3 linked regions of the Tribolium castaneum genome follow. The protein of the gene in region 1 interacts with the protein of each later gene in a pairwise test. Links are inferred from orthologs where the notes say so. Each region holds a gene or a part of one and is shown in the gene's direction. Other genes may lie near its edges. The genes, in order: Sf3a1, noi and Sf3a2.

Region 1 (4,096 bases):
ATTTCTAGCCCACTAGGAAATAAACCAGGCCGATGCGACTGTGGAAATTTCCGTCGCAGTTTCAAACAAAACGGAAGGAAAGCGGCCTTCCGGTATCAATCTTATAACACAAACTCACACTAATCCAACACAAAATAATCAAAAATCAAATAATTAACTCACCCATTGGAAAAATTCGATTAAAAATGAAATTTTCCCGCATATAAACAATAACAAACCACAGGTTATCAACCTTACCAACGCACAACTCCCAACTTGGAAGCGTTGGTAAAAGAGGGCAGCATAAACCACAAACGTACTGTCAAATTCTTCTGTCAATTATCTGTCTGTTTTGAAGCGTCCTCTAACGGTGTAGAGTAATTTAGCTCAAATGTTTAAACATAAATTTTTATATTTTTTTACTTTTATTATGTTTTTTAATTTATTGAACTAAATATTGATCTGTTGAAGCTGAAAACTATCAGAAGTTATAGGTACAACGTTTTTTCAAGGTTCGCTAAAATGTTAAATACTATGTTGAATATAAATTATTAGCTGTTTTAAAACTATAAAAACACCAACGTCGCATTTTACTAAATAATTTTTTTAAATAAGATTAATAAAAATGTAAAATAATTATTATTGATTAGCTTTCCCAAGTATAAATTACATTATCTATTATTTTTTTGAACTACATGAATAATTTATAACACCTAATTCAAAAAAAAATGCGACGTTAGCGTTTTTTTAGTTTTGAAACAGCTAATATATTTTATTTCAGTTTATCGCAGAATTCTGCAACAGCGCATTTGGATTTTTTGGAGTGAAATAAAGCACATATTGAAAGTTTCTTTATAAGAAAAAAATATATGTTAAGCTAAATCTCAGTAACAAATTTTGAGCCAAGAACCCAGAAACTTTCAATTTGAGCTCTACTTCACTCCAAAAAATGCAAATGCAAAATTCTACTATGAGTTGAAATGAGATATAAGCTGTTTCAAATCTATAAATTAGGTTTCATTAATCGTTCTTTTTGATCCGCAACCACAAGCGTTAGTTGTAATATAGATATTAACGTAATACATAATATTATAATACATAATAATAATACATAATATTTGTAAAAAATATAAGAAATAACTACAAAAGTAAAAAATATAAAAACAGTTTACACGCGTAAAATGTTGGTATAGAATTCTGTAAAGACCGCTTGTGGCGCCTCTAGTGGTTTGGAGTATTCATCAATTTTATTTTTTATTGCCATCTCTCTCTTCATTTTACGTTGAGCAAGCGTTTGTTAGCGTGTTTATTTAGCTTATTGTAAGAAAAAATAGTGAAAATGCCGGTTTTGGAAGCAAATAATCCAAATCCGGACGATCCCGGACCGATAAATCCAGTGGTGGGTATTATTTATCCACCACCAGAGGTGAGAAGTATCCTTTGTGAAAATTTCAGATTTGTCGGAAAATTCAGGTTAGATTGTATTTTTCCTGACAATTTGCTAAGATATCGTCGATAAAACAGCCAGTTTTGTGGCCAGAAACGGGCCAGAATTTGAGGCCAGGATCAGACAGAACGAATTAGGGAATCCGAAATTTAATTTCCTGAATCCTGGTGACCCCTACCATGCGTATTATCAGCACAAAGTCAACGATTTTCGAGAGGGGAAAGGTAAGGAACATAAAAATATATTAATCGAGTTGATCAGGTTAAAGTAGACCTATGGTTCTTTTATTAGGTTGGTCACACTGAAGAATATTTGTTCTTTAACCCGGCGTTACTCAGTTGGGGTGTGACAGACCCCAGAGTAAAAAAATGCTTTGGTTTTTTAGATAGGAATGTTATATGTATGCACCTTTCAGTAGATTGCAAAAACATTTCGAATATGATGTAATATATGATTTTCATATAATATAATATAATTTTCACCTGGCTGTTATAATATGTGTGTTGTAGCCGATTTTATGGCTCTGGGGTTTGTTACACCCCACTTACTTACGTTACTACTTTTTACCAAAAATTTTGCTCTATAAAACTAGGTAAAGATTTGACTTTTTTGAAATATTGGACTTTATGTAAAATCGAGTGTAAAATGCTTTGGTATAGTTTCAGAATAACAAACACATTCTTTGATGTGTGTGTCACACCCCACCTTAGTATTGGTGTCCTAAAAACTCACCTGAGTAACGCCGGATTAATAAAGTTTTTCAAACATTAACTAATTTTGAACACTTGTTTATAATGTGAATGTAAAGTGGAATTACTGTTTTTATGCAAAAAAAACCTTTTAGTTTACCGTTCAAGACAAATCGTTTCATTCATCATTTTTCTGCGAAAAACATTCAAGTTCAATTATAAAAAAAAATTATTCTCCTTTTTTATCATTGTTGGTATTTTCGTAGTATTATGTAGCCAAGGTCTGAAGGCGTTTCCGAGACGTAACTTTAACTTTGTAAATAAACAGTTAAGCTGTCTTATCTTTTCTCTAAACTCCATGAAAATACCAACAATTATTCAAGTTTAATGTGGTTTTCATTAAGGATCTTTTTTTTTGAAATTTTGTGAAAACTACACGTATGACATTGCTCTGGACTTCAGAATGCCAAACAAATCATTGGGTGGTATAAATAAAAATGAAGTAGATGCTAATACTACAGTCCAGTGGAGTAAAGACATGGGTGAAGTAAATGCTACTTTTTTAAGTAAATACTTTACTTTCGGGAACAAAAGACTATAGTTAAAAGTAGGCACTTCCTGTTATTAGCAGATACTTCTCCATAGTAGTATATCCCATTTCAGTTCATAGTAGAATTTTTTAACAGCGCATATGCATTTTTTAACATGAGAGTTTCTGGTGGGTTTTCTTAGCTCAAAGTGTGAATTCTTTTCTTATACAGAAACTCAATTTGGGCTTAATTTTTACTCCAAAATACTCACATCCGCTGTTGAAAAATGCAATTCTACTATGAACTGAAATTAAATATACCTACTTCGAAATATAATTAAAAAAATCAATATTTTACTTTAGACACATTACTAACAGAATCAAAAGAAAATTTGGAGTTTGAAGGAGGGCGAACAACTTCATACAGAATTTTAAAAAATATGAGTTACAGATTTCGTTTAGTTAATAGAAGAAAAATCTTTGTGAACAAAAACATGTTCTGATATCAAAAATTGTTTTTTTACGAAAATTTCTTCAGTACCAAAACTCTAAAACACTAAAAATTTTATTTTTGTATATTTGGATGAAAGGTGGATTTATCAAAATGGCAGCAATGTTCGACGGTGGGTTCACGAAGAAGACCTAAAAAGCAATCCTTCAAAAATTAAAAGTGAAGACAAAAGGTTCACTATATTATATGCGGGATGTCGGTTTGCTTTTTTGGAAGGATGTGACCTTTTAATGGATGTGGCGAATAATGACAGAGGCTATCACAAAACTATGAATGGAGAAATATTTCAAACATGGGTGATTAACCAATTAATTCCTGCTTTAGCAAAACTACCATTTAAATCTGTTGTGATAATGGATAGTGCTCCGTGTCACTCGATGCAATTGGAAAAAATGCCCACGTCGTCTTCTACCAAGGGTAAAATGTAGGTATGGTTGATTAATCATCATATAGAATTTGATTTAATACTTCACTAAAAATCAGTTGTAGGATTTAATAAAACCTTTAAAAGCAAATAATTAAAAACAGTACGTAATAGATAAAGTTTTAAATGACCATGGACATGAAGTTCTTTGATTACCCCCATATCATCGCTAGTATAACGCAATTCATTGGCATAGGGGTTTTCTAAGAACTATTATAATAAACATACAAATGAGCAACCTTTGGACAGAAATAAAGTTGCAAATCTATGGTCGGAATCACTCATAAAATGTACACCCGAAATGTGGCAAAATTTCTGTAAACACTGGGAATAATTAATTGCTTCAGATTGGACAAAACACATTGCAAATATTTCTCCATTTATTATTTCTCTAAGTGAGTCTGATTCAAAAACAGATTTTGATGTTTCAGATTCAGAAATTTAATACTTAACACTTGGAATAATTTGATGTCTAATTTGTTAAATTCTTTTTTAAAGTATTTTTTTTAATATAATT
Region 2 (4,130 bases), about 7.4 Mb from region 1:
CAAGTTTGCTCTTCTTCTCTGCTTCAAAATCGTTCTTATACACTTCGATTTGTTCCTTCAATGCGAACATTTCGTCGTTGGCACTTGTATTTTCTTGAAGTAGTTTACGCAAATCTTCGATTTCTTTAATCTTCTGTTCCCTTTCCTGTTCCAATGCTGTGATTGTCCTTTGGGCAACGCTCAACTGGGCCCGGGATTGGGCATAATCTTCGGCCAAACGCGGGTTGTACTTGTCTTGGAGCTCCTTAAGTTGCGATTTTAGGGTTTTTATCTCATCACTGAGGGTGGATTCGACGAAAGCGGTGCGTTGTTGTTCTTCCTTCAGTTTCAAGATTTCCGTTTCTTTCAGTTTGAGGAGCTGGTCGTAGGTTTGGGCTGCCGTCGATGATTGGACGAGTTTTGCGTTTTCTTTTGTTAAATTATCCAATTTTGATTGGAGGTCGGTGGTTGTTGTCTTCATTGACTGGATTTCGTCAATTAGGTCGCTTTCGCGATTTTTTGCGGCGAGAATATCCAGTTTAAAGTCGTCAATTTGTTGCTGCTTGGTTTGTAATTCCTGTTCAAGGTTCGGTACATTCACCAATTTTTGCGTCAGTCTTTCAATTTCTTCCTGTTTCAGTTCTAAATCCTTCATCATTGCTAATTTCCTTGTGTCAACAACTGAAAAGTTGGGGCCGTTGGTCAAATTTTCCAATTCCTTAAGCTTCAGTTTCAAATTCAAGATTTCTTCTTCATGGAGCTTTTTAAGATTGATGTAAACTTCAACGTCACTAACCAACTTTGCATTTTCTTCTTTATACTTATCTATGCACATTTTGGCATCGTTGAACTTATCTTTGTAGGACTTCATCACATTGGTGACCTCATCCCTGTAGGCCAAAAACCTCGTATACTGCGCCTTCATACTCATGTTATTTTGTGCGATGATATTCTTCAACTTTTCGTTTTCCTTAATCAGTTCTTCCACTTGTTTTTGAATCTCTTCATACGACGAATCCGGCGATATTGCAATACTTGCAACTGAGGGCACAATCGCATCAACAGCTGCTGGTAATTCTGGCAACGGATCAACGGTAATTTGTGATATTTTCATCCTGATTAGATTTTCCATTTCGTGAACCTTATTTGTCCTTATTGGGGGCAAGATTTCGTCCCTTGGAGGGCTGCAAGACAAACTTTCGCTGATGGAATTTGAAGTTTCCAAAACGACAAATGAATCTTCATCATCGGACCCGATTGACGGAACCATGGACTCTGCAGTGTTTTTCACAGCAACGAAGGACTCGTCACGACTCATTTTTGATGACTTTCAAGTTTTAACAACAGCTGCAGTACAACACTACATTTGCGGCGCAAAATAGAATGAATTAGAACATAGAATATGAAAATACCAAACTACTGACACACGATTAAAGACACTGCTACCAACCGGACCAATAAAAAGTCGCCTTAGCCTTAATTTAATTTTTTAAGAATATTAAAGCTCTAAAAATGTTATTGTGGCATAACTATTTACGTAAAATTTCATTTGGGACACAACTGTAGTCGTAAAAAAATTGTAAAGTCAAAGAAAAACCGCTTAGTGATTTTCTAGTGTGACAATAATGGTGCACCTCTCTCTTATTCTACGCTGACATTTTGTCATTTTTTGACAGTCGACATTTGATGGCGTCGGGTAAATAAATAATTTTCGCAATTTTCTAAAAAAAGTCGCAATGGAGACGATTTTGGAGCAACAACGGCGTTATCACGAGGAAAAAGAGCGTCTCATTGACGCAATGGTTAAAGAAATTTTACATAAAAAAACAACGGTAAGTTGTGATTCTCGTGGCGCTTTGCCCCCTGACAGAGTCTTTGTTTTAGTACCGCGAGGCAATAAACTCGGACTATCGCCTTAAATTTCTGCTAGACAAATATATGACCTCCACTGATCGTTTGATTGAGCTGTATGAGGACAAGGACGGGCAAAGAAAAGCGGAAGTCGCTGCCCTTACAGGTCCAAATGAGTTTCAGGAGTTTTACAATCGTCTCAAGCAGATTAAAGATTTTTACAGGAAGCATCCTAATGAGGTATAGTTTTTGAATATTTTGTGTGTTTGTGTAATGATTTTTTTCTCAGATAAGTATTCCAATGTCTGTTGAGTTCGATGAACTAGCCAAAGCGCGTGAAAATCCCACTGAAGAAATGGCAAGTGAGTCTTGCTAGGCTCGTGTGATCACAGTTGTTTAATTACGTTTGTTTTTTCAAGATTTGGTTGAATTTACGGATGAGGAAGGTTATGGGAAATATTTGGATTTGCACGAATGTTACGAGAAATATATCAATTTGAAAGGCATTGAAAAGGTTGATTATATCACATATTTGGGCACTTTTGACCAGCTCTATGACATTCCTAAAGAACGCAAAACTGGAGAATATCGCAAATATTTGCTTTGCTTGATTGAGTATTTAACTTGGTTCGTGCAAAGAGTCAAACCTTTGATGGACATTGATGCTGATTTGCAAAACGAAGTTGATAATGTTATGGTCCAGTGGGAGAATGGGACTGTTCCAGGATGGCCCGTAATTTGGTAAAAAACTAATTTATTTTTACTACTTCATTTACTTTCAGAAAGAGACAGGGTCGGCCTTGGCGAACGTTGGGGCCCATTTAGACTTGTCCGCATTTTCAAGTTGGGAGGAATTGGCTTCTTTAGGTTTGGACAGATTGAAGTCGGCCCTAATGGCTCTTGGTTTAAAATGTGGCGGGTAATTATTTACGTCTTGCCATAAATAAAATTCTAATTATTTATTTAGGACGTTGGAAGAGCGTGCCCAGCGTTTATTTTCAACCAAGGGCAAAGGCTCACTAGATCCGTCTCTAATGACTAAAAACAAATCTGGCAAAGCCAGTAAGGAAAAGGAGCAAATGAGACAAAGAGAACTGGCCTGTCTTGAGGCACAAGTTTATAGGTTGGCCGAGCTGGTCGCCCCTCAACGCGCGGCAACTAAGGAAAATGTCCAGAGAAAACAAGCGCGGACGGATGGTGAAAGAGACGATAGTGAAAATGAGGAGAGTGAGGAGGAAAGTCCCGATGAAGCCGACGATGACGTTCCCTACAACCCCAAAAACTTACCTTTGGGCTGGGATGGAAAAGTATGTGATTTTGAAAGTAAGTTGGTAAAATTGATTGTTTCGTAATTGCAGCCGATTCCATACTGGTTGTACAAACTCCACGGTTTGAATATCAGTTACAACTGCGAAATTTGCGGCAATTACGTCTATAAAGGACCAAAGGCGTTTCAAAGACACTTTGCGGAGTGGAGACACGCTCATGGAATGCGCTGTCTGGGAATCCCCAATACCGCGCATTTTGCCAACGTGACGCAAATTGAGGATGCCCTAGCACGTAAGAAGTTGCAATTTTGGTTTCTTACCTTGTTACGGTTGTTTTCCAGTGTGGGAGAAGCTCAAAGTGCAAAAACAGGCAGAGCGTTGGCAACCTGAAACAGAGGAAGAGTACGAGGATTCGCAAGGGAACGTCGTTAACAGAAAGACTTACGAGGATCTTAAAAGACAAGGTTTATTGTAATTTGTGCTGTATTAACAATAAGTATCAATAAAAAACATAAACAAAACTTTAAATATTGACATTTTATTTTGATGGTCGCCTTGGGAAGGGGAATTTTCGACTGTTCGTTAGCACGAACGTACAAAACTGAGCCCGAAATAGGGATAGAGAGAGTGAAAATTATTCCTGTTACTTAAGAAATTATTCAGTAGTTTCTGCGTAAATAAATAATAATTTAAGTACTCATTTAGCGTGTTTTTAGAGTTCGGTTGAATGCACAGTCGGCTGCAATTTTTCTCACTTACCGAACGATGCGCATTTGTTTGTGCCTGTGATTTGACCAGATTTGACTTTGACACATAAGTGGGTAAATTCATCCAAATAGGTTTGTGATTTTATTCAACCTTTAATCACTAATTCTTTAATCATCAGAGTCTAATTTCTATAATGTGCGAGCTAAAATGGACGTATTAAATGCGGTATACAACTTAAACAATGAAGAAACCCTCAAGTCCAGTTGGTTCGGTGAGGTCTTCTCGAGTTTTTCGACTCAAGAGACGTACCAGGTAAGAAAACTG
Region 3 (2,984 bases), on another chromosome or scaffold:
GTGGCCGACTGAGTTTTTTAAAGTGCAAAAATTACCATCTACTTCGATTAAAAGATCTTCGATTCCAAAAAACATCTTCACTGATAGTGTCAAAATAAGGATGTGAATAAAAACAAGAAAAACTTATAAAATGTGTTTATTTTTACAAATTAAGCCGATAAAACGCACGCTCCTCCAACAGCTTTGATTTTTTCTTCAGCGGATTTGGAGAAGAATTTAGCTTTAACGATGACGGGTTGTTTAGGAAGGCGCCCTTTACCTAACAATTTGTAATAACCCTGAAACAAAAACAAGAACCAAATAATTTCTACAAATACAAAAAAAATCTTTAGATCACAAGCCAACAGTCAGTAAGTGAACCATCAGCATTCTAATCAGACCGCCCGTTCAGCATTTCATCATTAAAGCATATCTGCAAACAATTATTAAAAAAAACTTACAGCTTTGACAATGTCAATAACTGGGGCTTTTCCCTCAGGGTGGTCTTTATATTTCAATCGTGTTTGCTCACTAACGAGAGTCCACAACTTATCCAAATTGATTGAGGGAGACCATTTGCTGTTACGCCTCAAATGGTAATTCCTCATACCCAACTGAAATAAAATTATTTAAGTACTTTACCCAAAAAAAAACAACTTCCACTAACCTTTCCAAAGTAGCCTGGATGGTACTTGTCAAAATTAATCCTGTGGTGGTGCATACCACCGGCATTACCGCGACCTCCAGGATGCTTACGGTGCTTACCTGTAATATACTTTTTTAACTTCCGACCAAAACTAATTAAAATAACTATTTCAAAACGAAGATCAGTCGAGAACATTAATCAAAATTTATTCATACCGCCCGTTCTTGTATCATCATAAAATAACAAAGACTGCTAAAAAGAGGAGGGTTTATTTACCAATGCGGCCGTGTCCGTGGCTCACGTGGCCCCTCAACTTCCTAGTCTTCTTCTTATGGGTCGACTGGAACATAACCACAACGAAGTTGTAAACACTTGTAATTGCAACAAATCGAAATAAATACGCATGTTAGTTAATAGGGAATTGTTCAAAATAACTTTTCAATTTAACGAAAAGTAATTATTACAAAAGATGATTGAGATTAAGTCAGAAAAATGAAAAAATTTGCAGCAAATGAAATACCCACCATGTTGGAAAGAACTTGTCAACTTCGGAAAGGTCGGAAGCAGGATCGCCAACATTTGTCAATGGAGCCAATAGCCACTAACACCTATTTATTAATAAAATGGTCTCGTACTTGGACTTATTTATTGTAAAGTGCATCTCGCCCTATTCTAATCTAATTTGCACTTATCACTTTAATGAAAAAATAACGTCTAATGTAAATTTTCAAAATGCAAAATTAAACTTGGTGACATTTTTATACTCTCATGTTGGTGTTAAGAAGGTTACTAATAAATGGTTGCGCTCTTGTCAGTTACATGTAACCTCAATCGTTTTTAATTGCATAAATAAAAGTGCAAAATGGATTTCCAAAATCGCCCGGGGGGCAAGACCGGCGGTGGCGGCGTAGCCTCCTGGTCGGAAACCAACCGCGACCGCCGCGAGCGTCTCCGCCAGCTAGCTTTAGAAACCATCGACCTCCAAAAGGACCCCTATTTTATGAAAAACCATTTGGGCTCCTACGAGTGCAAGCTATGTCTCACACTACACAACAACGAGGGCAGCTACCTCGCCCACACCCAAGGCAAGAAGCACCAAGCCAACTTGGCTCGCCGAGCCGCCAAGGAAGCAAAGGACGCCCCCACACTCCTCCAACCCGAAAAACCCAGAGTTGAGCCGAAAAGATTCGTCAAAATTGGGAGACCCGGCTACCGAGTAACGAAACAAAGAGACCCTGAGACAGGCCAACAAAGTCTACTCTTCCAAATTGATTATCCGGAAATCACCGATAATGTGATTCCTCGGCATCGATTCATGTCGGCTTATGAACAGAAAATTGAGCCCCCGGACCGCAAATGGCAGTATTTGCTTTTCGCAGCGGAACCCTACGAGACAATTGCGTTCAAAGTGCCGAGTCGGGAGGTTGAGAAGACGGATAATAAGTTCTGGACGCATTGGAATATCGATACAAAGCAGTTTTTCCTCCAGTTTGCGTTCAAGAATGAGGCGAAGAAACCGACCACGATTATTGCAAGGCCTGGGGGTATGATGGGTGGAGTGCCGCCGCCACCGATGATCCCGGTGCCGCCACCACCGAGACCCCCGATGTTTAACGCCATTCCGCCGCCGCCGCCGCTGATGGGGGCGGTTCTGCCGGTGCCACCGCCACCTCATTAACAAAATTGATTTTTTTAAGCTGAACTAAATAACACTGTATTTCATTATTTCAAAAAAGTTAATAAACATTAAACTGGTCCCAAACGAATGGAGTATTTATTTATTGTCTTTCTTTCTCGGAGAAGTGACTGAGAAGAGGGAAAGATCAACTGCTAATATTATTTAATCAACGAAAAAAACGATTTTTTGCGTGTTTTTGTAAAATATTTAAGCCCATGTAATAACGATCTGAGGCTACATTCTCTTAAAATCGTGGTTCAACTGGTTCAACTGTGGAAGAAAAATTCTGAGTTTGATCGTTTTAATATGTCCGGTGTCCCGAATAGTTAATTTTCAAGGCTATGGCAAGATTTACGTATAATTAAATATTCTGACCTTTTTAATTATTACTAGTATCATCTGTGGTATGATGGTGTATCATACAAAGTAAACTTGAGCCTTATTATTTTTGTATTACGACATATTATTATTAGGATCATCCATACGTCCAGTCTTGTTCAAGACCCTCTGTCAAGCCATACTTAACCTCTACCATATCTATTTTTTTTTGTCAATGAAAATGTTGAAAACGGGTGCACACCGGCCTTGTTTTGCCTTAATTCGGCACTTTAAGGGTATGACTGCCCCTTTGCTATGTTAGTTCGCCGTGTTACTTAATTTCCTTTTAGCTTTGCGCCGCCT

The links.
Region 2: the proteins of Sf3a1 (region 1) and noi interact in a two-hybrid assay, tested with the Caenorhabditis elegans proteins (2 studies listed by BioGRID). The link is inferred for Tribolium castaneum from reciprocal best matches to the Caenorhabditis elegans genes prp-21 and prp-9.
Region 3: the proteins of Sf3a1 (region 1) and Sf3a2 interact in a two-hybrid assay, tested with the Caenorhabditis elegans proteins (2 studies listed by BioGRID). The link is inferred for Tribolium castaneum from reciprocal best matches to the Caenorhabditis elegans genes prp-21 and repo-1.

The regions. Positions count from the first base shown.
Region 1 is NC_087397.1:12,582,834-12,586,929, reverse strand, and holds the start of Sf3a1 (splicing factor 3A subunit 1), read left to right. Parts: upstream 1-1,243; 5' UTR 1,244-1,318; coding exon 1,319-1,412; intron 1,413-1,485; coding exon 1,486-1,650; intron 1,651-4,096. Other genes in the region: peroxidase, read right to left, coding at 163-202.
Region 2 is NC_087397.1:5,206,216-5,210,345, reverse strand, and holds noi (splicing factor 3A subunit 3), read left to right. Parts: upstream 1-1,572; 5' UTR 1,573-1,715; coding exon 1,716-1,811; intron 1,812-1,863; coding exon 1,864-2,070; intron 2,071-2,119; coding exon 2,120-2,192; intron 2,193-2,249; coding exon 2,250-2,563; intron 2,564-2,612; coding exon 2,613-2,749; intron 2,750-2,797; coding exon 2,798-3,137; intron 3,138-3,188; coding exon 3,189-3,390; intron 3,391-3,439; coding exon 3,440-3,573; 3' UTR 3,574-3,626; downstream 3,627-4,130. Other genes in the region: NF-kappa-B essential modulator, read right to left, coding at 1-1,297; neuropathy target esterase sws, read left to right, coding at 4,014-4,118.
Region 3 is NC_087402.1:2,914,621-2,917,604, reverse strand, and holds Sf3a2 (splicing factor 3A subunit 2), read left to right. Parts: upstream 1-1,370; 5' UTR 1,371-1,487; coding exon 1,488-2,303; 3' UTR 2,304-2,391; downstream 2,392-2,984. Other genes in the region: RpL27A (large ribosomal subunit protein uL15), read right to left, coding at 150-278, 441-593, 647-744, 902-965, 1,150-1,152; mRpL19 (large ribosomal subunit protein bL19m), read left to right, coding at 2,857-2,917, 2,972-2,984.